Linked DNA regions of Mus musculus. The protein of the gene in region 2 interacts with the protein of the main gene of each other region in a biochemical or structural test. Links are inferred from orthologs where the notes say so. Each region holds a gene or a part of one and is shown on either strand. Other genes may lie near its edges. The genes, in order: Cldn7, Tjp1, Jam3, Cldn1, Jam2, Cgn and Cldn8.

Region 1 (4,247 bases), on a different chromosome or scaffold from region 2:
TAAATAAAAAACCAAAAAACTAGCAAAAGGAAGAAAGACCTGTGAAGGTCTGAGAGGTGGAAGGAGGTTGTAGGAGAGGTAGACTGGAAGAAAGAACTAGAAAGAGTTCAGGGGGGCAGTGATGGACACACTGGGCTACTGGGCTCCAAGGGTCTGGAGGGAGCAACCTTAGTCTGGAAGTGTGTGTGTGTGTGTGTGTGTGTGTGTGTGTGTGTGTGTGTGTGTTGGGGGGGGTGAATAAAAATGCAGAAGGCAGGAAAAGGGGAAAGATAAATGAGAACCTTAGAAGCCAAGCTGGGAGGAAGGATGGTCAAAGTTCTGGGAAAGCTGGAAGGAGTGGAGGCTGAGCTAGGCTTTCTATTTTTTTTTTTAAGATTTTATTATTATATTTAAATACACTGTAGCTGTCTTCAGACACACCAGAAGAGGGTGTCAAGATCTCATTATGGATGGTTGTGAGCCACCATGTGTTTACTGGGACTTGAACTCAGGACCTTTGGAAGAGCAGTCAGTGCTCTTAACCCCTGAGCCATCTCCCCAGCCTTAAGCTAGACTTTCTAAGGGATGAATTAAGATGCTAGAGTGGGTCGGAGGGCACCGAAAGGGCACACAAACAGGTCCCCGGAAGCTCAGAATGAAGGAAAGAGAAAGTGTGTGGATGGAGAAGGAAGTGAGGAAAATGAAGGTAAACCAGAAATGACAACCTGGGGAGGGGAATGTTGGGCGTGTCGTGTCAGACTCTCTGACCTAGGTCTTACCCTTCTCCCCACCCTCGGAAAACTCCTTCGGGTAGAAGGAGCCTCTATGTTGGAGGAGACACTGACAGGCTCAGGTGCTAAGTCCTGTACCTACCTGGTCCTGGGACCAGGCCTGTGGGAGGACTGTCGGAGAGCCGTGTCTTGTGGAGGGCTTGAGCGGTGAAGCGGTAGGTTGCTAGACTGTCTGAGAGTAGAAATTCCTAGAAGGGTGCATGCAGCACGGGTGATTTTACCGTAATGGGTTAGGGCCCCTGATGATGAGACAGGCCTTGGTAGGAGACTAAAGAAAAAAAGAGCTGAGAGTGGAGACGAAAGTCGGGCTGGACAAGTGGCACGCGCCGAAACCTGCAGGGGAAGGATGGCGAGGAGCCTTTCCAGGGGCGTCTGAGGGTACTGGCTCCGCAGCGACCCAGGCGCACCTGTATGGAAAGGAGAGGAAGGGGCCACTTGGAGTCTGCAGGGCAGACTCCGACCCCAGGGACTTCTGAGAAGCCGTCGCCTATTTCCCATCAACGGTTAGAGCCAGGCAAATGAAGGGGCGTGACCCTGGAGCTCAGGTTTCTTCCTCTTCACCTGGACGAGGAGGGGGTAGGGGCCAAGACTTCCGGTTCAGGTGAGTGTCCCTTCAGTGACGTCAGGTCACTCGACTGCCCCTCTGGTCCCGCCCAAGTTGCAGCGCTCCGGGTGCCTGCGGGGGCGCGTCCCCGACGTCCTGCATATATATACTCAGGTGCGCCGCACCTGCTCGCCCGCACCTGCCGCCGCACCGCCAGCTCCCTGTGCCGCGCACCGCAGCCTGGGGCCCAAGGGCCCGCATACTTTCTGGGGGCCACGCCCTAACGGCCCCTCCACTTCTTTGGGTAGTCTCGGAGCACGCCGGTAGGAACCGCCCGGCCTTCGGGGACCGCTTTTGTCTGGAACCAGTCCTTCGGGCGAAGCCGGTTCCCTCTGCTGTGAGAGTGTCGCTTCACCGGAGGGGACGATTTGTGTTTACCTCGGTTAACAAGATTTGTAGTTACCCGGTCCAAAAAAAAATCTTTTTCTCCTTTGGGTGACTTAAATCTCTATCCAAATTTTCTTGTGTTGCTGCTCCCCGGATTTTTGTTTTTTTGTTTTTTTGCTTTACTGTAGGGTCGCCCTCCCGGCGCGTCCCGTCTTTTCTGAGACAAGGAAATGGCCAACTCGGGCCTGCAACTGCTGGGCTTTTCAATGGCCATGCTTGGCTGGGTGGGCCTGATAGCGAGCACTGCCATCCCTCAGTGGCAGATGAGCTCCTATGCGGGCGACAACATCATCACAGCCCAGGCCATGTACAAGGGGCTCTGGATGGAGTGCGTCACGCAGAGCACCGGCATGATGAGCTGCAAAATGTACGACTCGGTGCTCGCCCTGCCGGGTAAGGCCGTGGGACCGACGGGGCGGACGTGCCCAGGGTCAAGGTGGCCGGGTTGGGTGTGGGGCAGGGCCCAGGCCGCACTGCCCGGCGCCCGGGGTTGCCAGGGAGGAGGAAGTGGACGCCTTGGGCTCAGTCGGTGGGACAGAGAGAGAGCGTGCCTGGGATCTGATCTGGGTGTCCCACGTGGGTCCACGCCCCTCTGCCCAGATTTTTTTTGGGGGGGTTTCCTGGGCGAAGCACCCCCCAACCCCTGGCAGTCAGTGGTCTCTCTCTTCCCCTGCTTCTTTCTCTGGACAAAAGGAGAAGAGGGACGGAGGTTCTCAGGGCCGCGGAATCGTGCCCTCGTTAGACGTGGGACCGTACTTGTGGCCTCTAATCTTATCGGCCGATTAGCTGAAGCCACAAACTCGGTGGCCTCGATAGCGGGGCCAAAGCTAGGACACGCGCCGGCTGGTGTGGCTGGAGCGAGGGCCTTAGCCGCCACCTGCACTTCTCTTTCGCCCCCTTTCTCCCTTCCCCCCTACCTGGAACGGTTTCATCGAAACCTTGGCGCCCCGGGCGGGTTCTGGAGCGCAGGGCGGGGCGGGGAGCGGAAAGGACTTGGTGGCGGGATGGGGGCGGGAACCGTCTGCACAAGGCCTGCCTTGGACTAGGGGGCCCCAGGCTGCCGGCGGAACCAGACAGGCGGACCACGGTCCAGGGGTTAGTGGGCGCGGTCTGCAGCACTAAGGCTGGCGCCATCCTAAGGCTACCTGCCATTTCCAGCAATGACCGCCGCCTTCCTCCCCTGCAGGAGCCCTGCAGGCCACTCGAGCCTTAATGGTGGTGTCCCTGGTGTTGGGCTTCTTAGCCATGTTTGTCGCCACGATGGGCATGAAGTGCACACGCTGTGGGGGAGATGACAAAGCGAAGAAGGCCCGAATAGCTATGACTGGAGGCATTGTTTTCATTGTGGCAGGTGAGCCTCAAGGGTCCAGGGTGGGACCAAGGGGCTCAGTCTTTCACCCAGAAGAGCATAGTCAAGATCTTGGTCTGGACACCCAATACCAGAATCTTCTTTCTCTTTCTAGGTCTTGCTGCCTTGGTAGCATGTTCCTGGATTGGTCATCAGATTGTCACAGACTTTTATAACCCCTTGACGCCCATGAACGTTAAGTAAGTCTCCAGTCTAAAGAACCAGTAAGAACCAGATTATGCTGGGCGTGGTAGCACACGCCTTTAATCCCAGTACTTGGGAGACAGAGGCAGGCGGATCTCTGAGTTCGAGGCCAGCCTGGTCTACAAAGTGAGTTCCAGGACAGCCAAGGCTACACAGAGAAACCCTGTCTTGAAAGAACAAACAAAAAGATTATGTGGACTTGGGAGACATCAGGTCCGTTTTGACTCCAATCTTTTCTCCCTACAGGTACGAGTTTGGACCTGCCATCTTTATCGGCTGGGCAGGGTCTGCTCTGGTCCTTCTGGGAGGTGCCCTGCTCTCTTGCTCCTGTCCAGGCAGTGAAAGCAAAGCTGCGTACCGAGCACCCCGCTCTTACCCCAAGTCCAATTCCTCCAAGGAATACGTGTGAGCTGGGGAGCCCAGCCTGCGGGCAGGGTGGGAGGCAAAGGCCTCCTGGCCACTCCACCTCCAAACATCATGTATAGTTTGCTTGGGGGGAGGGCAGTTGGGGGGTTACTGGGAGAGGAAGACATGGGGTGTGCTTTTGTACAGAAATAAAATTAAGTTTTGGAAATTAGGTCTTTCCAGGCCGCTTTTTCTCCAGACCCAGATCCTTGCACAGGACTTGGAACTAAAGCAACTTACAGCAGCATGTGGTACCAGTGGTGTCTCCAGGCCTGGGGTCCCTACCTCCTTGGGCCTATTGCCTCAGCTCTAGTCTCAAGGTTCTTACCCACTCTCCTCCAAACTTTTCCCCACTGATTATTATTGTGTGGCCTAGTGGTATATAGGTGGGTATGTGTAGGGCAGTGAGTTCAGGGACTGAATTAAGGTCATTGGGAATGTGGCAAGTACCTTTTCCTGTTGCTATCTCATCATCCCCAACATCTGCTCTTGTTTAAGCATTACCAGAGGTTTTGATTGACACACACAC
Region 2 (4,442 bases):
GTGCATATCACAAGCTTTCTGCTTCCACTTCATAGCATTACTGTGAGAATCAATTGAATTACCCCCACAGATTAATCTTAGCTCATATTTTTCATTTTATTTATTTACTTATTTTGGTGTTTTCGAGACAGGGTTTCTCTGTGTAGCCTTGGCTGTCCTGGAACTCACTCCGTAAACCAGGCTGGCCTTGAACTCAGAAATTCGCCTGCCTCTTGCCTCCCAAATGCTGGGATTAAAGGTGTACGCCACCACGCCCGCTATCTTAGCTCATATTTAATGTTGATCACAATCACTAACAGCCCATAAATATGTTATTTCTGACTATGTGACTCCATTCTCTATTTTAAAGTACTCTGAATTTATAATAAATTGGGTTTTCTGAAAGGACTTTCTCCTTGCATTCATCTACGTGGTAAGATAAACATCTTCAGCTAACATGCTTTCTATACCACCACAATGGAACTCTCCTTAGAAGTCGCTGCACTTAACCATCAATTCAGGGACCATGGGTAAATCTATTGACTCTCGTCAGCCACAGAGTTTTATGGCACTGACTTGGATTTATGTCCTTCATCAAGATTCAGGCCAACTCACCAATATTTGCTGTGTTTATTCTTAGGTAAAGACTTTGGAGTAAGAGTTTGTGTATATCAGAATTTGAAACGCACTCTTTGGCATAGCAGTTTCACTTTTAATAAGCTGACATAGAGTAGCAGGTGTACAATACAAAAATGTAAATACAATTATATAAATTATACTCATTGCAATAACAATATCCTGGAAACAAGCCCAACAGCTCCATCCAAAAGGCAGTGATGACTGGAGCGGCATGGTGAAAACTACTCGACCTTACAAAGCTGGAGAATGAAAAGTACTGACGCACTCAAGTTCTACAACTGCTGTGCCAAAAACACAAGAGCAGGCTGCAAAACGAGTGTCTGTATGTCTTCACAGGGGTAGGAGAAACAAAAGCACCCTATGTAAAACAACCATGGAGCTGGAGCTTAAGCATTTTGGGTTCCCTGAGAACAATAAATGTGACTTAGGGAAGGAGGCAACTGGTTAACACTGCATTCACTAGCTCATTGAGGGAGGGCCTGGCTTTATGTAAGACTGCATCCAAGAAAATAACCCTTCAGTTCCCAGCTAAGGACGCAAATATTTAACTACAGAGGTGCCCCTATGTGCCATAAGATCTCAATACCATAATTTATGTGTAAAAGCACACCTTCTAAATCACCTTGCCACAGCAAGCTATTGGAAACACTTCTCTTGGAATAACACTTTCCAAGTGTGTTGTCTTGACTAACAAGTACCAGAGCTCACACTCTGAAACAAACTGACATTCTGTGTAATATGGCAACAAAGCCTTTCATCCCAGGAAAGGAAGTCCCAGCAAATGCAAATATCATCACTTATATTTTAAAAGTAACAAATGTTGCACTGATTCTAGTTTTTGGACCCAGTCTTTCTTTTAGATCTCTTATCAATGTTTGCTCAAAAAAAAAGATACAAACTAAATTACTCCTACAGGAGCAATACTCTATTCCTTAAAACAATCTATACTAAACCTTGTATCTGCCAAAGAAACAAGGTCCTGTCAAGAATTCAGAAATTTCCATCTATTCTCAAAGGTTATGATTAAGTATTTCAAATAGAAAACTACATAAAATCACCACCTGTTTAAGCTGTTTGAATAACGGATTGATTTTTCTCACACTGTATGTCTGTCATTGAAAAAGCAAGCACTTTAGGATTTTTTTTTAATTAAAACGTACAAAAGAAGGATTCTACTTCATCTTTAAGAATTTTAGCCTAATGTAATAATAATATAACACACTGTCAAGAAGCACACTTCAAAGCACACAGGAAAATAGGCAAGTTGTTTTGTGCAGAATTCACCGGGCTCTTTTGGTTTGCACCCATCTTACTGTCCATGTGTAGGGACACTTTGTGCTACTTCTGAAAGTTGAAATTAAAGTGCTTAAAAACTTTCCTCCTTCTGTGGCCTCACATAAATAATAAACCTCAAAATAAACCATAGCTACTCTAGAGCTGAGTGTTTTGCTGTCTCCAAGCTTTATCGCTGCCATTGCGCATACCGCAGCGGGTGACATCAGATCGAAACTATAGGGTTTCGTCGGGTACCAACCACTCCTCCAGAGCCAGCCCCGCGGCTACCCACCCACCCTCCTGCTGCAGCTGACACCCCCGGGTCTCCGCAGACACGCTCCCGGGACCTGAGAATCCTCACCCGGGGCGACTTTCCAGGCGCGGGACCTGTTGCACGTCGCCTCCCAGCGCGAGCCGGAGCCAGGCACCGGCAGCCGTGCACCTGCCCGGGCGGCAGGCGCACCCCCAGCCCGCCCTCCCGCCTTCCCTCACCGCCCCGCCGCGGTCGCCCCCGGCTGCCGCCGCGGGGAGGGCGGGGCGAGGCTCCCCCGCCGCCCCCCGCCGCCCAGCCCGCCGCCCGGCTGGCCGAGAGGTTCTCACCTTAGCGGCCGCGGCCCTGGCGGACATCTTGTCTCTCTCCGCGCCGCGCGAAGCTCCTCGGACCCGAAACTCCGCGCCGCCGGCCCGCCCGCTCCTCACGCCACCGTCCGCATAAACATCTCCCGGGGACGAGCGGGGCAGGGGCGGGGGAGGCCGGAAAGGCCCGGCCCACGGGGAGGGGATTCAAGTGGGACAAAAGTCCGGGAAGCGTCCGCCCCGCCCGGGCTTCTCCGCGGGGCACACCCGGCCGCCTGCTCGGCCTCCGCCGCCCTCCGCCGGCTCGCCGCTCCGCAGTACCCGGGCCTCCGGCTGTCCCCTACACCCTCGGGCGTCTCCTCCAAAGCCTGCTCCCGCACGTAACTTCCCCGGAACGCGCGGCCGCCGAGAGACGTGCCGTCGGCGGGCAGAGCCGTCGCGGGCAACTCAGGCGGCCACGCAAAACCTGCCGGACCGGGCCACTGAGCATGCCCAGCCGGCGGGGGCGGGGCCTCCGCGAGGGGCGGGGCCAGGCCGGGTCCGACCCCCGCGCGGAAGGAAAAGCTCGGCTACCCAAGTTACTTGCTAGGCGGTTTCCGCTGCCGCGCGATCCATCCTGTTTGTTTTTATCACAGATCCGGCAGAATTCGATTCACCCCCACCCCCGAGAACCCCAAACTCCTGTGTACTAAAGCTTTTTGACTCCCTACACAGACTTGTCTACTTTCTCCTCAACCAGCAACCCCAGATGGGCCCCACGCAGGAGTGTGACAATTAAGGTCGGCCTGGCCAATACCCAACTGTGGTTTCTTTAGCCTCGCAAGTAACAATGGTCACAACTGTCACCATGTGTCTCGGCACTGTTACCCCATTGGAGATATGTTTTTGTTTAAAGCACAACAGAAGCGTTCTAGAAGGCTCAGGACAAACCGACTGCCTTAAATAAACCAGGTACAAATCTGGACACTGAGATAATCCCAGCCCCCTTCTCCCGCCTCGCTAGACAGGGATCTCAATAGAATATTTTAGGCTATCAAGATTGCTGAAATTCTTGGCCCCTGAAGAGACAGAGCAGGCTGCCTGCCTTTCTAAACCAGAAAAGGATGTAAGGACACGCGGAATTCAACAAGTTCAATAGGCCACTGTGCAAACTTAGGCCAACTGTCTTGCTGAACCAAAAAAAAAAAAAAAAAAAAATTAGGTAGAAAACTATTTCGAGCTTCATTAATTTACATTCTGTATACTGCAAAGCTCTTAAGGAATATTAGAAAAATTTAGTAACATTAGATAACATCCTAAAGTACCTAGCATAGTGCTACAGTAGCCATACAAGGAAGAGGGAGACAGAAGCATCGGCTTTTAGACTATTGTTGTCTTTTGAGAATTCAACTATATGACCAATTTAAACCTAATTCTAACTTGGAAATATCCATACATGAAATGTAAACATCAATTAAGGTTTCAAAGTCAAGTATTTTGTAACTCTAAGCCAGCTGAACCAGAAAAGAGCATCGTGCAAACCAAACCCTGTTTCTCGGCATGTAGGAAAACAGTTAAAGTCAGTTTTGTTTTTTGTTTTGTTTTGTTTTAGTTGTGGTGTGTGTAGTTATTTCACAGGCAAAGTGTCCTGTGTTCTCTCAAAGGGGGTGATTAAATTTATCCTATGAGAAAACAGCATTATAAAAGACTTGGGTGTGCTGTGGCTGAGAAAGCGGTTCCTGAAGGACTTTCATACCAGGGAGGGCATTACCATTTAATAAGAGATGCACTCTGCAAACCTGCCTAGCAGTTTGATGCGCCTACTCCTTCCCTTTTCTCTTTGGTCAATCAGTTTATCAAGTCTATTATGTAAGCTAAATATTAGATCACTACATCGTGTCTACATCTAATTTACCTGATTGGTCTTATCTTGCCATGGCTTTAAAAAAAAAATGAAATCAAGGAAAACCATTTCACTTTCAGAACACTTTGCT
Region 3 (3,428 bases), on a different chromosome or scaffold from region 2:
TCAGATGCTGAGTTTACACTGGCTGTCATCAGTATTCTGCACTCATCTCTGTGTGAAGACCAAGTACACAACTACTGGGCCACATGGTGGCTACATGGTGAGTTTTTGAGACGGCTTTCCAAAGGAGCGTCACCATATATATATATTTATATATATATATATTTTTTTTTAAATTTTGTGTCTTTTGCCTGCATATGTCTGTGCACTGTATCTGCATGCTGAGTGTGCAGAGGTCAGAAGAGGGCATTGGCTCCCATGGAATTGGAGTTATGTATGGTTGTGAACCCACATAGGTTGCTGGGAACCAAACCTGGATCCTCTAAAAGCAGTAATTGACTTAATCACTGAGCAAGCCATGTGCCCAGCCCTGGCTTCTCCATTTACACTCACGCTTCGGTGCTTCCACCATAGTCACACACACACTTGTGATCATTTGACCTTTATTTTAATAGTCTTAGAGGGTATAAGGTATCCAAGTGGAGTTTCATCTCTCCATGTGCAAAGTGGGCAGTGTCTTGGGAGAAACCTGATCAACTGTTAGGTGCATTTCCACTGAGTTGTAGAGTCATACATTGCAGAGGCAAGTCCTTTTTCTGACGTGGCTTGCAGAGTCGTCCGTACCCCTGGTACAGACGGTGTAGATTGCTTTCTCGGCTGCTTACTTCCTTTAAAGCAGAGCCGCTGTTGACTTGATGGAATGTAGTATAACCCCCAGTTTTTGTGCTTGTGTCTTTGTTGTCGTATCTAAGGAACCATCACCGAAGCCACGGTCATGAAGATTATGCCTTCTGAGATGGCTCAGTGGATAGGGCACTGGCTGCTCTTGCAGAGGACCTGGGTTTGATTCCACAGACATCAGGCATATATCTGCTGTACAGACATACATGCAGGCAAAACACTCATCCATATAAAGGAAACAAATCTAAAAACTTTTGCTAATATTGCCCAGGCTGGCCTCCAGTTAACTGTGTTGCCTAGGCTAACCTCAAACTCCATTCCTATAAACTTATAGTGTTGCAAATAAATGCCCAGCTCTTGTTCAACTCTAGTGGGTATTTGTTGACTAGGGAGGCAGCCAGGGGTCAGCTTTCTTCTTTTTCATGTGGATAGCCACAACATCCTTTGTAGACTTTGTTTTGTAAATATTTATTTGGTTTTCCTTTCTTAACTTTTCCTTGAATTAATTTTCTCCTCCTGGGAATAATAAGGAGAAATAAGGTTCCTGGCTTTATCTTAACTACCAGATACTAGTTCTGATGCTCAGGTTGCACATGGGAAGAAGTCAGTGGCCTGGTCCCCATGAAGATCACGTCTTTCATACAGGGAGGGACAGGACAAACAGCACTGTACTGCAGTCTTCTTGCTCTGCCATCAAGTCCAGCCCCACAGTCTTCCAGTGTCTAGGATCTTGTGTCTTCTTTTTTATAGGAGACCTGGCAGGTCGCACAGATGTGTTTGGAAAAACTTCCCTGAGGATCTGGAATGTGACACGATCGGATTCAGCCATCTATCGCTGTGAGGTCGTTGCTCTAAATGACCGAAAAGAAGTTGATGAGATTACCATTGAGTTAATTGTGCAAGGTAGGCCCCATTAATGTGTAGCATCTCTACTGGCCAGCCCTATGAGTCAGCCCTTAGCTCTAGAATAAGAGACTAGCTCATATTTCGATTCATTCCTCCAGGGCTGTGTTCCTGGGGCTATCTGCAGTTTGGAAGGGGGGCCACTGAGGCTGTCTAGAGTTGGGCTGGGATGATGAGAACACGCATCTGCTGTGTTCCTTACCGGCCTCAGGGATCTGCCTTTGCAGCCTCCTTTTCAGCTTACTCCTGAAGGTGGAAGAACTGGAGACTGTGAGATTGGACACACGGGCTGGAATGAACTCAGAGTGAGCAGGGTGCAGGCAGTGGATGGGCTGTGGCCTTCGGAGCTGCTTTATTACGCTAGGTTTTGGTATGATGGGCTTGTGCTGAGATTTTAAACACCAACCCGTATTTTGCCTGCAGTGAAGCCAGTGACCCCTGTCTGCAGAATTCCAGCCGCTGTACCTGTAGGCAAGACGGCAACACTGCAGTGCCAAGAGAGCGAGGGCTATCCCCGGCCTCACTACAGCTGGTACCGCAATGATGTGCCACTGCCTACAGATTCCAGAGCCAATCCCAGGTTCCAGAATTCCTCTTTCCATGTGAACTCGGAGACAGGCACTCTGGTAAGAGCCCTTCCAAGGTGAGGAAGCAGATGCGTTTGTTGGAACCTAGGATGCCTGGAAGGAGAGCCAGGGAGGCTCCTTTTCAAGGCAGAGGCAAAATCTAGAACATCAGAAACACTACAGGAAAGGTGGCTTCGGCTTTCATATAAACAAGTGTTAAGGGTAAAACAAAATGGAAACCTGTACATCTGCATGAGAACAGGGGGCAGGTAAACAAGTGGGTTCATGTTATTAGAATCCTAGTTTGAATAATCAACGGAACATATGCACCACGTGAAGGAAATGTGCTTACTGGGCAGGTGTTTGATATTAAGCCATTATCAACAGAATTGTGATTATAGTTCTTAAGTCCTTATCATAAAGAGATATGGATTAAATATGTCTTGAATTTGCTTCAGAATAACTCCTGGTGCCTGGTGGTGGTTGGCATCACGTGCCTTTAGTCCCAGCACTCAGGAGGCAGGCGGATTTCTGTGAGTTTGAGGCCATCTTGGTCTACAGAGTGAGTTTCAGGTCAGCCAAGGCTATACAGAGAAACTCTGTCTCAAAACAACAACAACAAAAAACAATTAAAAAAAAAAGAAAAAGAAAAAAGGCTAACCCACTGGGAGGTAGGAGGTCACATGGGAGCGAGAAGAAAATGCAACAGCATGGCTTGGCCATCTGCAAAGGACATGCTGGCTTTGAGGCACTCAGCAGGGAGGGTGGCGTCCTGGTTTGTGAAATACCCAACTTCAGGGAGTGATTGGGTGAATCGTGACTCATTCTAGGGTATTGGTATTTGTCTAAGGAGAGCTGCTAGGATCCCTTGAACTTCAGAGGGACAGTGAAGTGGGCTGCTTGCAGCCTAGCTTTGCCCAGCTTTGCTCTCTCTGCATCCCGAAGGGAGTTCCTTGTGAAGCTCTGATGCAGGAGGGAAATGGTGAGGACAGTAGAGCTGCTGGTGAGCGGACTGCTTTGTGGCTTCAGTGGGGCGTCTGTGTGGTGTCACCCTTGATGTCTGTCACTCAGTTTGTCCTGTTGAGTGAAGTAACACTTTGTCATTTCTAAAACAGGTTTTCAATGCTGTCCACAAGGACGACTCTGGGCAGTACTACTGCATTGCTTCCAATGACGCAGGTGCAGCCAGGTGTGAGGGGCAGGACATGGAAGTCTGTGAGTCACTTGAAAAGATTACACTGAAGACAAGAGTGAATAGAACATTTAAGTTGAATGTTAGTT
Region 4 (3,659 bases), on a different chromosome or scaffold from region 2:
ACCCTGCCTACAAAGCTATAATGTATGTGTGTGTGTGTGTGTGTGTGTGTGTGTGTGTGTATAGTGTGTATATGTATTGTAATGTGTATATGTATATTTATGTACATATGTATTCCTATGTATATATGTATATGGGAATCAGTATGGGTATGTGTGTGTGTATATCTATATATCTATATATCTATATCCATATATATGTATATGTATGCCTCCTGCCAACCTAAATTTACTTTATTTCACTTCCTACCATTTGTCATTTATCTATTAGGTAGCCAGTTGGCCCATTTTACTCGGGATCCACGACTTTCTTAGGATGCTAGACTTTTTACTTAAAATACGAAGCATCCTTAGCAAACAGGCAAGAATGAATGGTCACACTCTCCTCCAGGCACATAGATCTCATCATTGCCTGCAGCATCTTTCCAAAATGGTTTCTATCTAAGCAAAACATCAAATCTGTTTTGTAAGAACATAATTATTTAGTTGTTTATTTTCCTAAGAAATAACATGTACTGTTCAAAATACTGTTGATAACTCAGAAGGAAGTGTACACCTTAACTGGGAGTCCTTGGGACTTTCCTCTTTAAACCACAGCATGGTTGGTGACTCCAAGGAAAGTTTTCTAATGGTCACATGAGCAGCTTCCGTTCCTAGTAAAGCCATGGGCCATGGAACATGGCTCTGATCCAGTAGTTCCTTCCTTACCCTGGAACCTTGTAATGAGTGTGCAAGAGAGGTGTGTCTATATATTCTTGTTGCACACTTATAAACAAAAGAGTATGCCAAAAGAGAGAGTGTACCATTTTAGTATTTTGATGAAAGAGTAAAAATTGCTTCCAAATATCATGGAATGCTGTGAAAATACATTTGATACTGCTTAGAAAGACGTTGTGTGATTCTGTCATGGACTGTAATAACAAGGATAGAAATGGTTGTAAGTTAAAATGTAGTGGCATTCCAGAGAAGTTTGTTTTGAATTGAGATTGGTAACTTAACTTCTCAATTTTGAACATGTGAGACTAACCCTGTGTACCTACTAAATATTGAGAAGACCATCATCTAGTCACTCCTGAAGACCAGGAAGGAGCAAATTGTTCTAACTCCCTGCATAGAGATGGTCACCCTTATATTTTACAAAATACAAGCATGGTTCCAAATAGTAGGTAATTTTCTCAAGATCCTAATAGCTTGCAGTGTAAATGTTTCCATACAAAAAAAACGTCCACTTCACTTATTAAGAGTGTGGTATAGTGATGTTCAGTTGAAAGGGGAAATTAATTTATAATTTAAACATCTTCTAAGTAGGGTTCCAGCACACACACACACACACACACACACACACACACACACACACACACTATTCTTTTACCATAATGTTGGCTTTTATTCCTTAGGAAACACACTGTCACAGTCTCTCAAATCTCATCCTGTCTCTGGTGATAATTTAACACAACACAGATAAGAAAGAGGCTTTTAGAAAATTTGCAGAAACCTTAGAAATGCGAGCTGGGGTTATCCCTAACATTATGTAGTATGCTTTTGTGGTTTTAAAAACTGGTACTATCTCCTATGAATCTACTGCTATGTTCCAAGTTATCTTCTTAAATTTTTGCCTTAACTTAAAAATCTAGAAAGTTGTACCCTTCCCCTACTCAACCTCGTGTAACTAGGGATACAATATTACTTATCTAGCCGTGGTCACCCCTGAAAACCTCATTTGCTTGTCCATAGTCACTTGTTTCTGAAGCCTAGAGAATGTAGTCTAAAACTAGTGACTAGTACTAAATATGTATTTTAAGCCAGAGTTACAAATGATGACCATTAAGGATAATATGTGTGACTGTTAGTTCAGACTCTAACTACCCAATGGTAATGGTTACATATTCAGCTCAGTGAGACCTATTCAACTGATTCATTAATAACTTTCCAGTTGATTTTGGACTTCATAACTAAAGTAGCAGCCATCCTTGACTCTCGGTTTGCATCCTCCTAGCAACCGTCCCAGTGGCTACGGCAGAAATGTCACTAGAGTTCATTTTCCTTTGGGCACCTTGTTCACTTTTATCCCTTCCCCCCTAAATACAATAACGTATCTCATCTCCCACCACTGTGCTGTGACTGCTCCAGGCATGGTTTTGACATGTCCTGAATCTTTCCCACCAGGTACTTTGCAGGCAACCCGAGCCTTGATGGTAATTGGCATCCTGCTGGGGCTGATCGCAATCTTTGTGTCCACCATTGGCATGAAGTGCATGAGGTGCCTGGAAGATGATGAGGTGCAGAAGATGTGGATGGCTGTCATTGGGGGCATAATATTTTTAATTTCAGGTAAGAGAGGCTCCTCCTTCTCCCTTGTCTACTTTTCACAAAAGAGTGTGGTTTGAAATCAAGGTTTCTAACTTTTAGCTTCTTTGGTTTATATTCTATTCACTGAATCTGAAACTTTAAAAAAATATTCTACCATCTGAAGACATGAGCCTTATATTCAGTTGGCTTTCATCTTCTCACTAAGAACCAGTGGGAATTTGACCTCTGTACACTTCTGTCAAGTACAACCATGAAGGGCTCAAGTACCTACTAGTCTCTTGGCCCAGTCTATTCAGATTCAGAAGATATTTTGATACTTAGCCAAAGAGTCTGAACCAATTTGATGTGATTCAGAAAATGCTATTTGGGTGTGATGGTTCATGGCTGTGATCCTAGCATAAGAAAGATGAGTACAGGGAAACGTGGAGTTCAAGGCCAGCCTCAAGAAAATAAACATAATATGTGAATGGTATTGGATTGGGAAAGATGGGATTGGACCTAGTGGAGAAAACTGGAAGGAGGTAACGTTGTAGATAGGCAGAGCTAATTTCACAACAAACACTATGTACCCATGGACCAGAGAAAAGATAATTTAGTATGAGTACGCTTGGAATATTAACAAGGTAGGCTATAAAGTTAGCTGAGCTAAGGAAGAAAACAGAACAGAAAGAAAGGGATTTGAAAGCTTCTGACAACGTAGGCTGGGTGTTGCAGGGAAGAAACATTACAAGGATTGCATCAAAGGCTGTAGTGTCACGCCACACCCATCCTCACGACTCTCACAAGTGCTATAGGCATGTATCTGGGGTGGCTTCAGAAGTCTGCTTAACCAGTTCAAGAGCATATGTATGATCAGTTTGCATGGTCAACTAGAATGATTTTTTGGTACCGTCAAGTACTATAAAAGAAGTTATTTGTTTTGGATTTGTCAGTTTTCCGAACAGTTATTATATAAATTGTGGTATTTTGAAATATATATATATATATATATATATATATATATATATATATATATATATATATATATATATACAATAAATTAGAATATATACAATAAATTATATATATGTATACAATAAATTAGAATGATTAATATATGTTTTTGTCAGATACTCTTTTTGGGGAATAATACTTTATATCCACTCTCCAGCATTTTTTTCTTTATTTCTTTTCTTTTCACTTTTTTGGGGAGGGTAGTTTTAAGATAGGGTTTCTCTGTGTAGCCCAGGACATCCTAAAACTCATTCTGTATTCCAGGTTTGCTTCAAACTAGCAGAGATCTGCCTGTCTCTGCCCTCCAAGTGCTGGGATTAAAAATGTGTCCCACCATTCCCTGGGTGCTTTCTAGCATT
Region 5 (4,170 bases), on a different chromosome or scaffold from region 2:
ACTTGGGGTTCACTGGAACTCTACAATGTGGCTATATCGAATCAATCAATCAATCAATCAATATCTCTCCCTTTCTCTTCTCAGTTTTCACGACTAATTTGACTCTTTTAATTGGATTGTCAAGGACAATTGACTTAACCTGTCTCTGAGCACAGGCCTTAAGTCTTTTTTTTTTTTTTTTTTTTTTTTTGCCTTAAGTCTTAAGTTAGATGACACCCTTACTCCCTTACTGTTTGTGAGTTTGGGCTACCAGCTCCATTTTTGCCTTTTTTTTTTTTTTTTTTTTTAACTTTGCTTTTCTTGCCCTCAGGGGTCTTCTGTCCCCTCCCCTTCCCCATGAGGGCCAAAGCTTTCATCACTGTTGCCCAGGCAACAGTGGGGATGCCTCATTCCTCACAGCTCTGCATATCTAAGTATATCTTAAGCCTTTGTCCGCAAGGCTGGCTCAATTCTTTGTAAGTGGTCCACCACTAAATCAGCCATCCTCTACACATAATTATTTATTATTTAGCTTTATTTAAAACGATTTTAAAAAATGTCTTCACCTGACAACGGCCTTTACACAGACGGGTCAATTTTCTTGAATGCCCCAGCCATCAGTTCTGGAGAGGAAATGTGAAAATCGCCTTTGCAAGTGCACGCTTCCGAAGTGCGGGTCAATTTTAAAGCACGCACTGGAGCATTCATAATGGATTTCCCTTTTAAAAGCACATGAGACCAAAAATAAACCTGACAAAAGGGCAGCTGTAGAGTTTTAACATGTGGAAAACTCCACAGGCGGCAGTTACATAACGGGGAAGAAACAAGATAAATATTTCACACCGTTAGATGAACTTCCAGATGACAACTAAGAAGCCAAGAGCCCAGAACACACCTTAACTCTCTAAGGGGTTGGGGGGACGGGGAGGACGGACTTGAAGCCAGAAGAGGCTAAGCCTGATGATAAAATCTGGGACCTGACTTGCAACTTGAGTGATGCCTTTGTCCCCCGCCCCCTCCGCCCCTCCCCACCCCCCCTTTCTAGAGGCAGGGGCTGAGCTCATGCCCCTATACTTTAAGAGCGCTTCGCCAGCGGTTTTGTCCGCTAGATAGAAATTTTCCAAAAAATATCTCCCACGCTAGGCAAAACACTGAAAAGGAAGTTTTTTTGCGCCAAGAGGAGAGACATGGCGAGACAGACCGAGCCACTACCGCTCCCAACACACACACACCCTGCCCATCCCACCCGGCTGCGCTCCTCCTGCCCCCAGCTCCTCGCCCTGGGGACAGCTGGCAGCCTAGCGCGGGACTAGACACAAAGCGGATCAGTCTGGGGGCGGGGGGCCGACCTGCAGGGTTCTCCCTCAAGAGGCTAGTCCTCTGCCGCCACTCGCTTAGGACCCTGCGGACACCGCGTCCCGCGTCCACGCCCTCCCCTCAACCCTCTTCCACCCTTCAAAAGAAGGACTGTCCCAGACACCACGTCCTAGGGCCAGAAGACCTGCCCCCACGACAGTCGCTGGAGACACCCCAGACCGGAGAGACTGACATCGGGACAGGACCCGCCCCTCTGCTTCCACCTCTCAGGGACCTCCTCTGCTCCGCCGCCGGGCGAAGTGCTGGGAGACCCAGCCGCCTGTCGCGCTCCTGCAGGGGGACCCTCAGCTAGGCAGCCAGCTGGCGCCCGCGTAGATGGCGAGGAGCCCCCAAGGCCTCCTGATGCTGCTGCTGCTACACTACTTGATCGTCGCCCTGGACTGTAAGTCTCTGGGGTAACAGTCCTTTCCACCCTCCGGTCTGGCTATACCAGCCTCCGGGACCCTCGCCTGCAGGCATGGCGCTCAGTGCTAGGGGGTCTGTCTCGGGGCGCCAGGCTTTGCAGTCTGGGAGCACGGAGGGTAATCTGGATGAGGGCAGGCTCTGGGCAGGGAGACTGAAGTCCTGTGCGTCTTGTAAATAGTGTTGGATCTGGGCAGTTAAGAATTGAAGAAAACAGACGATCCTCATCTCCTTGCAAAGTCCGAGGAAGTTTTCAAAGACACCGGGACGTGATCAGAATGCAAAACTCTCTAAGTATTCAAGATGCGAAGAGCCCAAGAAAGATGGCATCCGGGGTTGGCGAAGGCCACTCTTAAGTAGCTGCGGCTGAGGGATCAGTGGTTACGGTCCCAGCTGCCCCGGGCAAGGTGCTGGGTAAAGCACTTTAGAGGCGGTAGCGGGGTGAAATTAGCTGAGCCCCAGTAGCTTTTCGCCTTTACGCCTGCAAAACCGGCTTAGAGAAGTCTGTCCGCTCCAGCCAGCTGCCGTGTCCTCAGGGGATGTCCAGCCAGCGGGACTGGCTGTTAGGATTGTTAGAAAGGCGCAGGCGATGAATGAGCGAGCTGGCAGCTGGCATAGCTGCGGAGGCGTCCCAAAGCCAGTTTAGTTTCTCTGGGTACTTTGAAAGAGGATTTGCGCGGGTGCTGGCCTAATGTGATTTGAAATTTGATTTTTGTTTTCTTCGCGTTAACTTTTTAGGAAAAGGTAGGAAATTACTATCTATTTTTAAGTGAGGAAGTCCTTGTTGTTGTTGTTGTTGTTGTTGTTGATGATGATGATAAACACCCTCCCCCTCCCTGTTATCTTTTGTTCTGTTGGTTTCTTCACTAGGGAGGGGTAAATGTGTTATTGTTGAGGTTCAAGTTCTAGTCACAGTACTTAATAGTAGTTCAATTATTCTGCCCGACGAACGTCTTAACACTAACGCTGAGGCTTTTTCTCAGACCAAAGTGATGGGGGCTCACAAAACGATTTGCCGCTCAGAACCCGAACAGGGTGCCTGCTGACTCAGGGGGAGGTATATATCAAGCCAGGAAGTTGACATTCGCAATGAAATCTTTATGCATGCTGAAATATCAGCTGGTATCAAACGGAACACTTAGGGTTTGAGAGGTAATGTACTGAGTATGAAAATCAGCGACGAAGCTGGAATCTGGAGGTAGCGTAACTAAAAAAACAAAAAGTTAAGGTGAAAAGTTCTGTGTTCCTCTGAGCTTTTAAGTCTCACTTTAACAGGAGTCATTTAAAAATAAAATAGTTTTTCTCTGTTATTCCCATTCTGTCATCAAAATAGAAACAATAGATGCCGTTTGTCATTCCAGCGTAGTCAATCCAGAAGCCAGCGAAGGCTAATACTGAATGTGTAGAATGAGTTCTTCCATATCTAGGTTATCGGCAGGCTCCACTAACTCTGATACCTGTAAGGAAGAAGTTGGGAAGCAGCACGGGACCTTTCTCATACTGTTCCCTCAGTGCCAGAAGGTCTGGCATTTCAAGCGTGTTTTCTTCCCTTTTAACACATTTAAAACTTTCAAAAACAATTCAGCTGTAAAGAAAGGGGACATTAGCATAGATAGTTCCCATATACTCTATACCCAGTTACCACCATTACAGTCTTATTATTATATAGTGTCACATGGGATACTCTGCTTAGATCTTCCTCATTCTTATGGAATGTCCTTTTCTGTCCCGGGATACCACATTTGGATTAACGGTCTTCTTCCTTTATGCTCCTCTTGGCTGTGGCAGTATTTCAGACACCCCTTGTTTTTTATGACCTTGACAGGTGCTGGTTAATTACGCTGTTAAATTTCCTTCAACTGGTATATCTCAGATGCTTCATTTGTGGTTAAATGATGTCATAGGGTTTTTGGAGGAAGAAGGAAGAGAAAGGAAAGACATTTTCATCCTCTCCTAATCCAGGGGACATGACCTGTCACTATGCTTTTAACCTTCTTGGCCTGGTGGAGGCAGTGTGTGTCAGCTTGCTGCAAGGGCTCCCTACTGTGCTATCCTCAATTCCACACTATACTGTTTTAAAGAAATGTCGATATTTTCAGCTCACACTAACGGACAGAGGCTGGGTTGGTTGGTGATACATGACTATAATCTCAGCAGGCGGGCAGGAGGCAGACAGACCATTCAAGGCCACAAAGGATTCAAGGACAGCCTGGATTATGGTGAGAATATCTCCAAAAATTATCAAGGAATGAGGGCGACAGTCAGTCTCAGAGGTAGGAAGCAAGGGCTAGAAATGAGGACTTACATGACATAAACACACATGTATAAGCTTGCGCACATACACAGAGCACATATACACACACATAGGAATGTATTTCATTTTCTCCAGGGTCAAATTTCTTCATAGATTAT
Region 6 (3,659 bases), on a different chromosome or scaffold from region 2:
GTGTGTCACCACACCCAACATTACCTTTTTCATCTTCCTATCTCCAATGCTTCAGCCTGAGTTTTCCTTTCTCTCAGCCCAGCCTTCCTCCTCTCCCGCCTCCCAGGTAGAGAAACAGCAGCTGGAAGAGGCTTTGAATGCTGCCCGGGAGGAGGAGGGGAACCTGGCAGCAGCCAAGCGGGCTCTGGAGGTCCGGCTAGATGAGGCCCAGCGGGGGCTGGCACGCCTTGGGCAGGAACAGCAAGCACTGAACCGGGCCCTAGAGGAAGAGGGGAAGCAGCGGGAGGCTCTCCGGAGGAGCAAGGCAGAGTTGGAGGAGCAGAAGCGTTTGCTGAACAGGACTGTAGACCGACTCAACAAAGAGGTGAATATGGGTAGTGTGGCCCCTTAGGAAGGGGTGCGAGCCCTACAGAAGCTAACCCTGGAGGTGGGTCAGGATGTATGGCACTACTTTTTCTCAGATAGGATTGGACCAAATTTTTCTTTTTTAAAAAAGTTTTAAACTTTACTATTACTGTTATCTTGTTTGTTTGCTTTTTGGTTGGTTTTGTTTTGTTTTGTTTGTTTGTTTGTTTGTTTGTTTTTTCTGAGACAGGGCTTCTCTGTGTAACCTTGACTGTCCTAGAAGTCATTATATAGACCACAGCCTGGCTTTGAATTTACAGAGATCCACCTGCCTCTGCCTCCCATGTGCTGAAATTAAGGAAGGGCGTGTGCCACCATGCTTGGTCCTTATGATATATCTGTCTATGTGGGGGCTTATATGTGTGCATATGAGTGAGTACGGTACCCCAGGAGGTCAGAAGAGGACATCAAGCTCCCCGGAGCTAGAGTTACAGGCAGTTTTGAGCTGCCCGATATGAGTGCTAGAAACTGAACTCAGGTCCTGGAAGAGCAGTATGTACTCTTTTTTGCATTCATTAATTGATTTATTCACTTCAATCCTGATGGCAGCCCCATCTCTCCTCCTAGTGCTCCTCTCACACAGCCCCTTCTGCCATCCCTTCTTCTGAGAAGAGGGAAGAAGGGGAGGTCTCCCCTGGATACCAACCCACCCTGGCACCTCAAATCACTGCAGGACTAGACACATCCTCTCCCACTGAAACTAGACAAGGCAGTCTAGTAAGGATCTACAGGCAGGGGGAAAAGTCAGGGTGAGCCCTGGCTCCAGTTGTTGGGGGACCCACATAAAGACCAAGTTGCACATCTGCTGCATATGTTTGTGGTGGGGAGAAGCCTATGTATGCTCTTTGGTTGGTCAGTCTCTGGGTGCCCCCAAGGGTCCAAGTTAATTGATTCTATTGGGAGTCCCTATCTCCTCTGGGTTCCTCAGTCCTTCCCCCAACTCTTCCATAAGAGTCCCTTTGTGGACTTTATCTAATGTTTGTCTATGGGTATTTGCATCTGTTTTGGTCAGCTGCTGGGTGGAGCCTCTGAGAGGACAGTTATGCTAGGCTCCTGTCTACAAGCAAGACAGACTATCATTAATACTGTCAGGGATTGGTGCTTGCCCATGGTATGGGTCTCAAGTTGGGCCCCTCATTGATTGATCATTCTCTCAGTTTCTGCTCCATCTTTGTCCTTGGATTTCTTATAGGCAGGACATATTTTGGGTGGAAGGTTTTGTGGGTGGGTTGATGTTCTTATCCCTCCAATGAGAGTCCTGCCTGGCTATAGGATGTGGCTACTTCAGGCTCTGTATCCCCTTCTGCTAGGCGTCTCAGCTAAAGTCACTTGAATAGACTCCTCAGAGACTCCCCATCCCAGGTTTCTGGCATTAGTAAAGATTTAAATTGCAGGAAGAGCCAAAGAGACACAGTAACTGAGGGTTTGTGGTAGTTTAGTCGGCAGATTTTCTATCTTAGAAGTACGTCTTATAACTTGAGTTTGCAGAAATGTGGTCATTGAAGATTTACTTAGTATCAGCCACTTTATAGGTATTTTAAATCATTAACATAATTCAGTATCAACTCAGCAATGTAGGTGCTGTTATTATCTCATTTTATAGACAGGAAAATGAGATCAGAGATGATAAGTAAGGGCTAAAACTCCAACGTCCAGAATTTGAATATATAACGATTAGCCATTCCAGGGATCTAGACCAGGCAAGCTAGAGACAGCTGCTTGGCAGAGCGGAAGCTCATGGGAGACTCTTGGAAGCTGGGTCTAGAGAAGGGACTGAACATTTGTTACAGAGGTGCAGTGCTGACAGAAACCTTTTCCCTCTGCGTTTTAGCTGGAGCAGATTGGGGATGACTCCAAGCTAGCCCTGCAGCAGCTCCAGGCTCAGATGGAAGATTACAAGGAAAAGGCCCGGAAGGAAGTAGCTGATGCCCAGCGTCAGGCCAAGGATTGGGCCAGTGAGGCTGAAAAGAATTCAGGGGGGCTGAGCCGGCTTCAGGATGAGGTAGGAACGTAGACAACAGGAGCCTGTCCATGGCTTTGAAAGTCTTTGCCTTCTCACTGAACCTATGGCTGGAGTGCTAGGCCCCAGACTCATGTGGAACCACAGAAGAGGGCATCCATCTCTAGAGCAGCATCCTTCTCTAGAACAGCATCCATCTCTAGAGCAGCATCCCTCTCTAGAGCAGCATCCCTCTCTAGAGCAGCATCCCTCTCTAGAGCAGCATCCCTCTCTAGAGCAGCATCCCTCTCTAGAGCAGCATCCCTCTCTAGAGCAGCATCCCTCTCTAGAGCAGCATCCCTCTCTAGAGCAGCATCCCTCTCTAGAGCAGCATCCCTCTCTAGAGCAGCATCCCTCTCTAGAGCAGCATCCCTCTCTAGAACAGCATCCATCTCTAGAGCAGCATCCCTCTCTAGAGCAGCATCCCTCTCTAGAGCAGCATCCCTCTCTAGAGCAGCATCCCTCTCTAGAGCAGCATCCCTCTCTAGAGCAGCATCCCTCTCTAGAGCAGCATCCCTCTCTAGAGCAGCATCCCTCTCTAGAGCAGCATCCCTCTCTAGAGCAGCATCCCTCTCTAGAGCAGCATCCCTCTCTAGAACAGCATCCATCTCTAGAGCAGCATCCCTCTCTAGAGCAGCATCCCTCTCTAGAGCAGCATCCCTCTCTAGAGCAGCATCCCTCTCTAGATCAGCATCCCTCTCTAGAGCAGCATCCCTCTCTAGAGCAGCATCCCTCTCTAGAGCAGCATCCATCTCTAGAACGGCATCCTTTTCTAGAGCAGCATCCCTCTCTAGAGCAGCATCCCTCTCTAGAGCAGCATCCCTCTCTAGAGCAGCATCCCTCTCTAGAGCAGTGGCTTTCAACCTCTGCTGCACATTAAAGTCACCCAGAATGATTTTTTAAAATCTTTTTTGCTTTTTTTTTTCCTGCTTTTTTGAGACAGGATTTCTCTGTAACTCTGACTGTCCTAGAAATCAGAGATTGTGTGCCTGTCTCCCAAGTGCTGGGATTAAAGGCATGCACTGCCACTGCTACGCTGAGATGTTGAAAAATCTTAATTCTAAACATCATCTCATATTACATAGATATTAATTTGGGACCTAGAGCCAGTAGATATTTTTTTGTTTGTTTGCTTTGAGGTAGGGTCTTAACTATGGCTGGCTTTGAACTCACAGAGATCTCTTTGATCTCTACCTGCTAATGCTGGGAGTTAAGGCCTGAAAGGATTAATAGTCTTAAAAACTCTCTAAATAGG
Region 7 (4,170 bases), on a different chromosome or scaffold from region 2:
TGCTATATCTCAAGCTATCCTCAACGGCAATCTAAGATCTTTTAAAAAAAAAATGTAACTTTTAAATGTGTATGCCAAAAAATAGCTTGAAGTTTGGGGATACAGGGCAGAAAGCAAAGGACGGCCTCCCACACGAAATTTCTAGTGGAGCTTTGCCAGTCAGTGTGGGTGCTGATTCCAGTAGCAGTTCAATTGTCAGTTTGCAAAGACAGTTCACATTGCCTTACAAGGAGCCACCAAGTCTATTTGCATAACACATGTCCCCATAGGTAGGGAAGATAATTTTGATTAACATTTAATATAATTTTCGATGAAGATGTTACTTAAAATGCCAGCTATTTGCAGAGACCTGGGACTTTCTTGCACACTATCCATCCAGAATTCCCTTTTCTTCAGACTAGAAGATGGAGCAGGAAGTAGGGGCTAGAAAAAAGGCCTCTACTTTAGCAACTACAGAAGACCTCATTTAAGCATTAAGTTAGGGATTCCGTCTTCACAAAGCCACCTGGCTTTTCTTTTGGTGTGTTTTGCACTCTTCATTATAAATCAGTATTTTCAGGAAAACAAATGCTAACAGATAGCTTCCCCCCTCCCCAACCCCGACACCCAATTACACACAGTTAGTGGCAATGGGGAAAGCAACCTGGTTAAGAAGTTGCTTCAGTCTAGCGTTGGCTCTTGGCAGTGTGCTACTGGCTGAACCCACTGCAGGAGAGCTTGCTTTTGAAGTTTTAGACAAATTAAATCAACACTTCAGGTCACGTGTCCCAACAAGAATGTGGTTTCCCCAGTATGAACAATCTATCCATCCTTCATTCTCCTTTAACTTGGCCCTAGAGTCATCCCTGTCCAATCCCTTGGAAGAGGTTTTACTGCAACCTCAGTCAGAACAGCTTAGGGGCAGGATTCACCTCTGAAAAGAGCAGTGCCTCTTTTAACTGGGAGAGACTGGCTCTCCTTGCTGATTGTGCAAACATTCATAATTATGCCTCTAGGTAAACATACTGCTGTCTTCTTAGAAAATAGAGAAGTACAAAGAATGTTTATTTGCAAGCCCAGCTTTCCCAGGTATCCTGAGTTGGTTTAGACACACCTGAGCTCCCATCCCCCTCTTATTGGCTAAGAAAGTTGCCACACCTGATTTGCAAGTTTACTGTTGGAGCCAAAGGGGGGGGGGGGGAGAGAAGAGGGGGTTGTGTCACCAGCCAGCACTAGATTTGATCTGGCCAGAGAGGGCTAAGCTCTGTGTTGTGAGCACATTTCTACAGGAGAACTGTTCCCTCCCTCCCAAGGCGTACAGATTTCTGCTTGAAAGGAAGCCCTACTTCCCGGGTCAGCGTTCCAGCTGGATACAATTTGGGAGGACGATGGCAACCTACGCTCTTCAAATGGCTGCACTGGTGCTTGGTGGTGTTGGCATGGTGGGCACGGTGGCTGTGACTATCATGCCTCAGTGGAGAGTGTCTGCCTTCATCGAAAGTAACATTGTGGTGTTTGAGAACCGCTGGGAAGGCTTGTGGATGAATTGTATGAGGCATGCCAACATCAGAATGCAGTGCAAGGTCTACGACTCCCTGCTGGCTCTTAGTCCAGACCTCCAGGCATCCCGAGGACTGATGTGTGCTGCGTCCGTCTTGGCTTTCTTGGCTTTCATGACAGCCATCCTCGGAATGAAGTGCACCAGATGCACGGGGGACGATGAGAACGTGAAGAGCCGCATCTTGCTGACAGCCGGAATCATCTTCTTCATCACCGGCTTGGTTGTGCTCATCCCTGTCAGCTGGGTTGCCAATTCCATCATCAGAGACTTCTACAACCCACTGGTGGATGTGGCCCTAAAGCGCGAGCTGGGAGAAGCCCTCTACATAGGCTGGACCACAGCGCTGGTGCTGATCGCTGGAGGAGCACTGTTCTGTTGTGTGTTTTGTTGTACTGAAAGGAGCAACAGTTACAGGTACTCGGTACCATCCCATCGCACCACTCAACGGAGTTTCCACGCCGAAAAGAGATCTCCGAGCATATACTCCAAAAGTCAGTATGTGTAGTTGTGTGTGTATATTTTAGCCGTAGCTAAGCTTTTATAAATCACCAAACCAGCCACTATTTTAGAGAAATGGAGCCCACACTGTATCCATTTACCTTTCTTAACTGCCTAGCACTCATTAGAGGAAATATGCAGCGTCTATGTTTCCATAAGTGATTTTAGCAGAATGAGGTATTATGTGCACTGCTTCGATTGTTCTAGAAAGCCTAGCCATTTGTTTTCTAAAATGGTTCACTCAGCTCTTCCTTTTTATCAGTCACTCTAAACCTGCACATCGAAAGACTGTTGGCTTAAGCTGTGATTTCTCTGTGTCATGACATTATCCAAGTAGATGCGGGTGGCAGTTATATCTCACACAAATAGAGACAGGCTTATGTGGTTCTATTTAAAGTGGAATGCCAATCCATCACGCTGAATAAATAGAACTCAGCTATTGCATTTCAGGGGGCCTGGGGATAAAAGAGAAGGAGGCTGATATTAATTGCCTAAAAACAGCTTAAGGATTAGTGCACTCTATTTGTAGTGAAGGTTAAAATGAAGGCTTTAATCATTAGTGTAAGGCTTTCTGCTATCCTGCTTTGCAGCCTCGAGGAGTAAGAAATTCCGTCACCTTTATCCTTTCCCTCTACACGCCTTAATTTTCTGTTGCCTACTATCTCTTAAAGTTTAAAGCAGATGTTTTGGCAAAATATTTTTTTTTCCTTTAGACTACTTTTGTAAGGCTAAGCAGTGGTCTTAGAAAAATTAATGATTTCAGAAAAATGAAATCATTAGCTTTTCTGTTTAGAGAAGAATGTATTGTTTTTGAAATGAAGTCATATCATGCAAGGGATTGTTCAAATGCTATTTTTGCATAGTTTTTTCTTTCTTTTTTTTAGGAACTTATCAGTATATATGAGGGAGAAAGAAGGACATTTTCATTGTCATTTTATTAACCCAAAGAGAGACACAAACCCTCCAAATCCAAAAGCTTGTCCCCTTCTAACTCCTGACACTCAAACTTATCATTTCTCTTCTGTTGAAGGGATTTCCCCATTTTCTATGCCTTTGCTAAGTTCTATTGAAGTGTAGTATCACTCTGTGTTTCCTCCTAATTTGAGACAACTGTTATTCTAAGTTTCATATATATGACTTTTATATTGATAAATTGTATCTCATAACAATATAGCATTTCTTGCATCTTCATTCTTTTTCTTTACCTTGTGCAAGTGTTTAAAACTTGGTATTGACTCTTTTAGTTTGAACATAGATATTGTGTTCACTTTTGTAATGTATGATTTAAAATCCACGTACTTTATAATGACCTCACATATGCACTAATATTTGATTAATATATGAATAATATTAAATTGCACTTAGGTCCAATGAAATGTGTTTGTTGTAAATACTGTGTATGTAATCATGTTTTAAAAGATGTTGTCCATATGTATTTCAACTCCTGAGAATTCATATGAACTAAAAGCAGTGCTGAAATGACTTGGGAATATACATCATATTTATGTGAAGGATATTATTAAACGTTTGCAATACTAATATTGTAGTAGTTTTAATTTATAAATGGGAGAACCTTAAAAAATAGTTGGGTGATAGCCAGTGATACTGGCAGAAAACATAAGAGATGACACTGCAGAACCCCTCAGCAAGTGCTCATGACGCTCTGGGGGATCTAGTTTATAAAGCAATCTCTGTATGTGGAATTAAAGGTTCAAGTACTGTTAGCTGGAAAAGCTTAGTTCTCGCTCCCGTGTGGGTGATGTCACTCTACATCCTGGGCAACTTTGCCTCTTTGGGGCAAAACAGTTGCTAGGAGAAGAAACAAACAAGGACTAACAAAATGGCCTAGACAAAAATCCAGACAGCCATCTTATACAAGAAAGTCTGTATAAGTCTGTAAGCAACAAATACGTAGTTGCCCTAAGTGTCACAGACACCATTCATATTTTCTTCGTCCCCTCCCCCACTAAATCAGAATGTAAGGGATTAGGACCACTTCTTTGGTGTTTCTGAAGTGTCTTCTTCACGTTCTACCTTAAATATAATCCCATTTCTTCTCACAAGAAATTGTATTTTGGTGTCACTGTGTCAATAATGTTTTTCATCCAATTAGCTGCCAAATTCTTATTATA

What was found.
Region 1: the proteins of Tjp1 (region 2) and Cldn7 form a complex in vitro, tested with the Homo sapiens proteins (2 studies listed by BioGRID and IntAct, with this or other methods). The link is inferred for Mus musculus from reciprocal best matches to the Homo sapiens genes TJP1 and CLDN7.
Region 3: the proteins of Tjp1 (region 2) and Jam3 form a complex in vitro, tested with the Homo sapiens proteins (2 studies listed by BioGRID and IntAct, with this or other methods). The link is inferred for Mus musculus from reciprocal best matches to the Homo sapiens genes TJP1 and JAM3.
Region 4: the proteins of Tjp1 (region 2) and Cldn1 form a complex in vitro, tested with the Homo sapiens proteins (2 studies listed by BioGRID and IntAct, with this or other methods). The link is inferred for Mus musculus from reciprocal best matches to the Homo sapiens genes TJP1 and CLDN1.
Region 5: the proteins of Tjp1 (region 2) and Jam2 form a complex in vitro, tested with the Homo sapiens proteins (2 studies listed by BioGRID and IntAct, with this or other methods). The link is inferred for Mus musculus from reciprocal best matches to the Homo sapiens genes TJP1 and JAM2.
Region 6: the proteins of Tjp1 (region 2) and Cgn form a complex in vitro, tested with the Homo sapiens proteins (2 studies listed by BioGRID and IntAct, with this or other methods). The link is inferred for Mus musculus from reciprocal best matches to the Homo sapiens genes TJP1 and CGN.
Region 7: the proteins of Tjp1 (region 2) and Cldn8 form a complex in vitro, tested with the Homo sapiens proteins (2 studies listed by BioGRID and IntAct, with this or other methods). The link is inferred for Mus musculus from reciprocal best matches to the Homo sapiens genes TJP1 and CLDN8.

What each region holds. Positions count from the first base shown.
Region 1 is NC_000077.6:69,963,996-69,968,242, forward strand, and holds Cldn7 (claudin-7 precursor), read left to right. Parts: upstream 1-1,425; 5' UTR 1,426-1,931; coding exon 1,932-2,154; intron 2,155-2,947; coding exon 2,948-3,112; intron 3,113-3,224; coding exon 3,225-3,309; intron 3,310-3,559; coding exon 3,560-3,722; 3' UTR 3,723-3,891; downstream 3,892-4,247. UniProt on the Homo sapiens protein: Plays a major role in tight junction-specific obliteration of the intercellular space.
Region 2 is NC_000073.6:65,368,317-65,372,758, forward strand, and holds the start of Tjp1 (tight junction protein ZO-1), read right to left. Parts: upstream 2,929-4,442; 5' UTR 2,521-2,928; coding exon 2,494-2,520; intron 1-2,493. UniProt on the Homo sapiens protein: TJP1, TJP2, and TJP3 are closely related scaffolding proteins that link tight junction (TJ) transmembrane proteins such as claudins, junctional adhesion molecules, and occludin to the actin cytoskeleton.
Region 3 is NC_000075.6:27,100,017-27,103,444, reverse strand, and holds part of Jam3 (junctional adhesion molecule C precursor), read left to right. Parts: intron 1-1,428; coding exon 1,429-1,581; intron 1,582-2,004; coding exon 2,005-2,207; intron 2,208-3,262; coding exon 3,263-3,362; intron 3,363-3,428. UniProt on the Homo sapiens protein: Junctional adhesion protein that mediates heterotypic cell-cell interactions with its cognate receptor JAM2 to regulate different cellular processes. Plays a role in homing and mobilization of hematopoietic stem and progenitor cells within the bone marrow.
Region 4 is NC_000082.6:26,361,739-26,365,397, reverse strand, and holds part of Cldn1 (claudin-1), read left to right. Parts: intron 1-2,163; coding exon 2,164-2,328; intron 2,329-3,659.
Region 5 is NC_000082.6:84,772,816-84,776,985, forward strand, and holds the start of Jam2 (junctional adhesion molecule B precursor), read left to right. Parts: upstream 1-1,307; 5' UTR 1,308-1,671; coding exon 1,672-1,738; intron 1,739-4,170. UniProt on the Homo sapiens protein: Junctional adhesion protein that mediates heterotypic cell-cell interactions with its cognate receptor JAM3 to regulate different cellular processes. Plays a role in homing and mobilization of hematopoietic stem and progenitor cells within the bone marrow.
Region 6 is NC_000069.6:94,765,865-94,769,523, reverse strand, and holds part of Cgn (cingulin), read left to right. Parts: intron 1-106; coding exon 107-364; intron 365-2,236; coding exon 2,237-2,407; intron 2,408-3,659. UniProt on the Homo sapiens protein: Probably plays a role in the formation and regulation of the tight junction (TJ) paracellular permeability barrier.
Region 7 is NC_000082.6:88,560,233-88,564,402, reverse strand, and holds Cldn8 (claudin-8), read left to right. Parts: upstream 1-1,219; 5' UTR 1,220-1,367; coding exon 1,368-2,045; 3' UTR 2,046-3,577; downstream 3,578-4,170.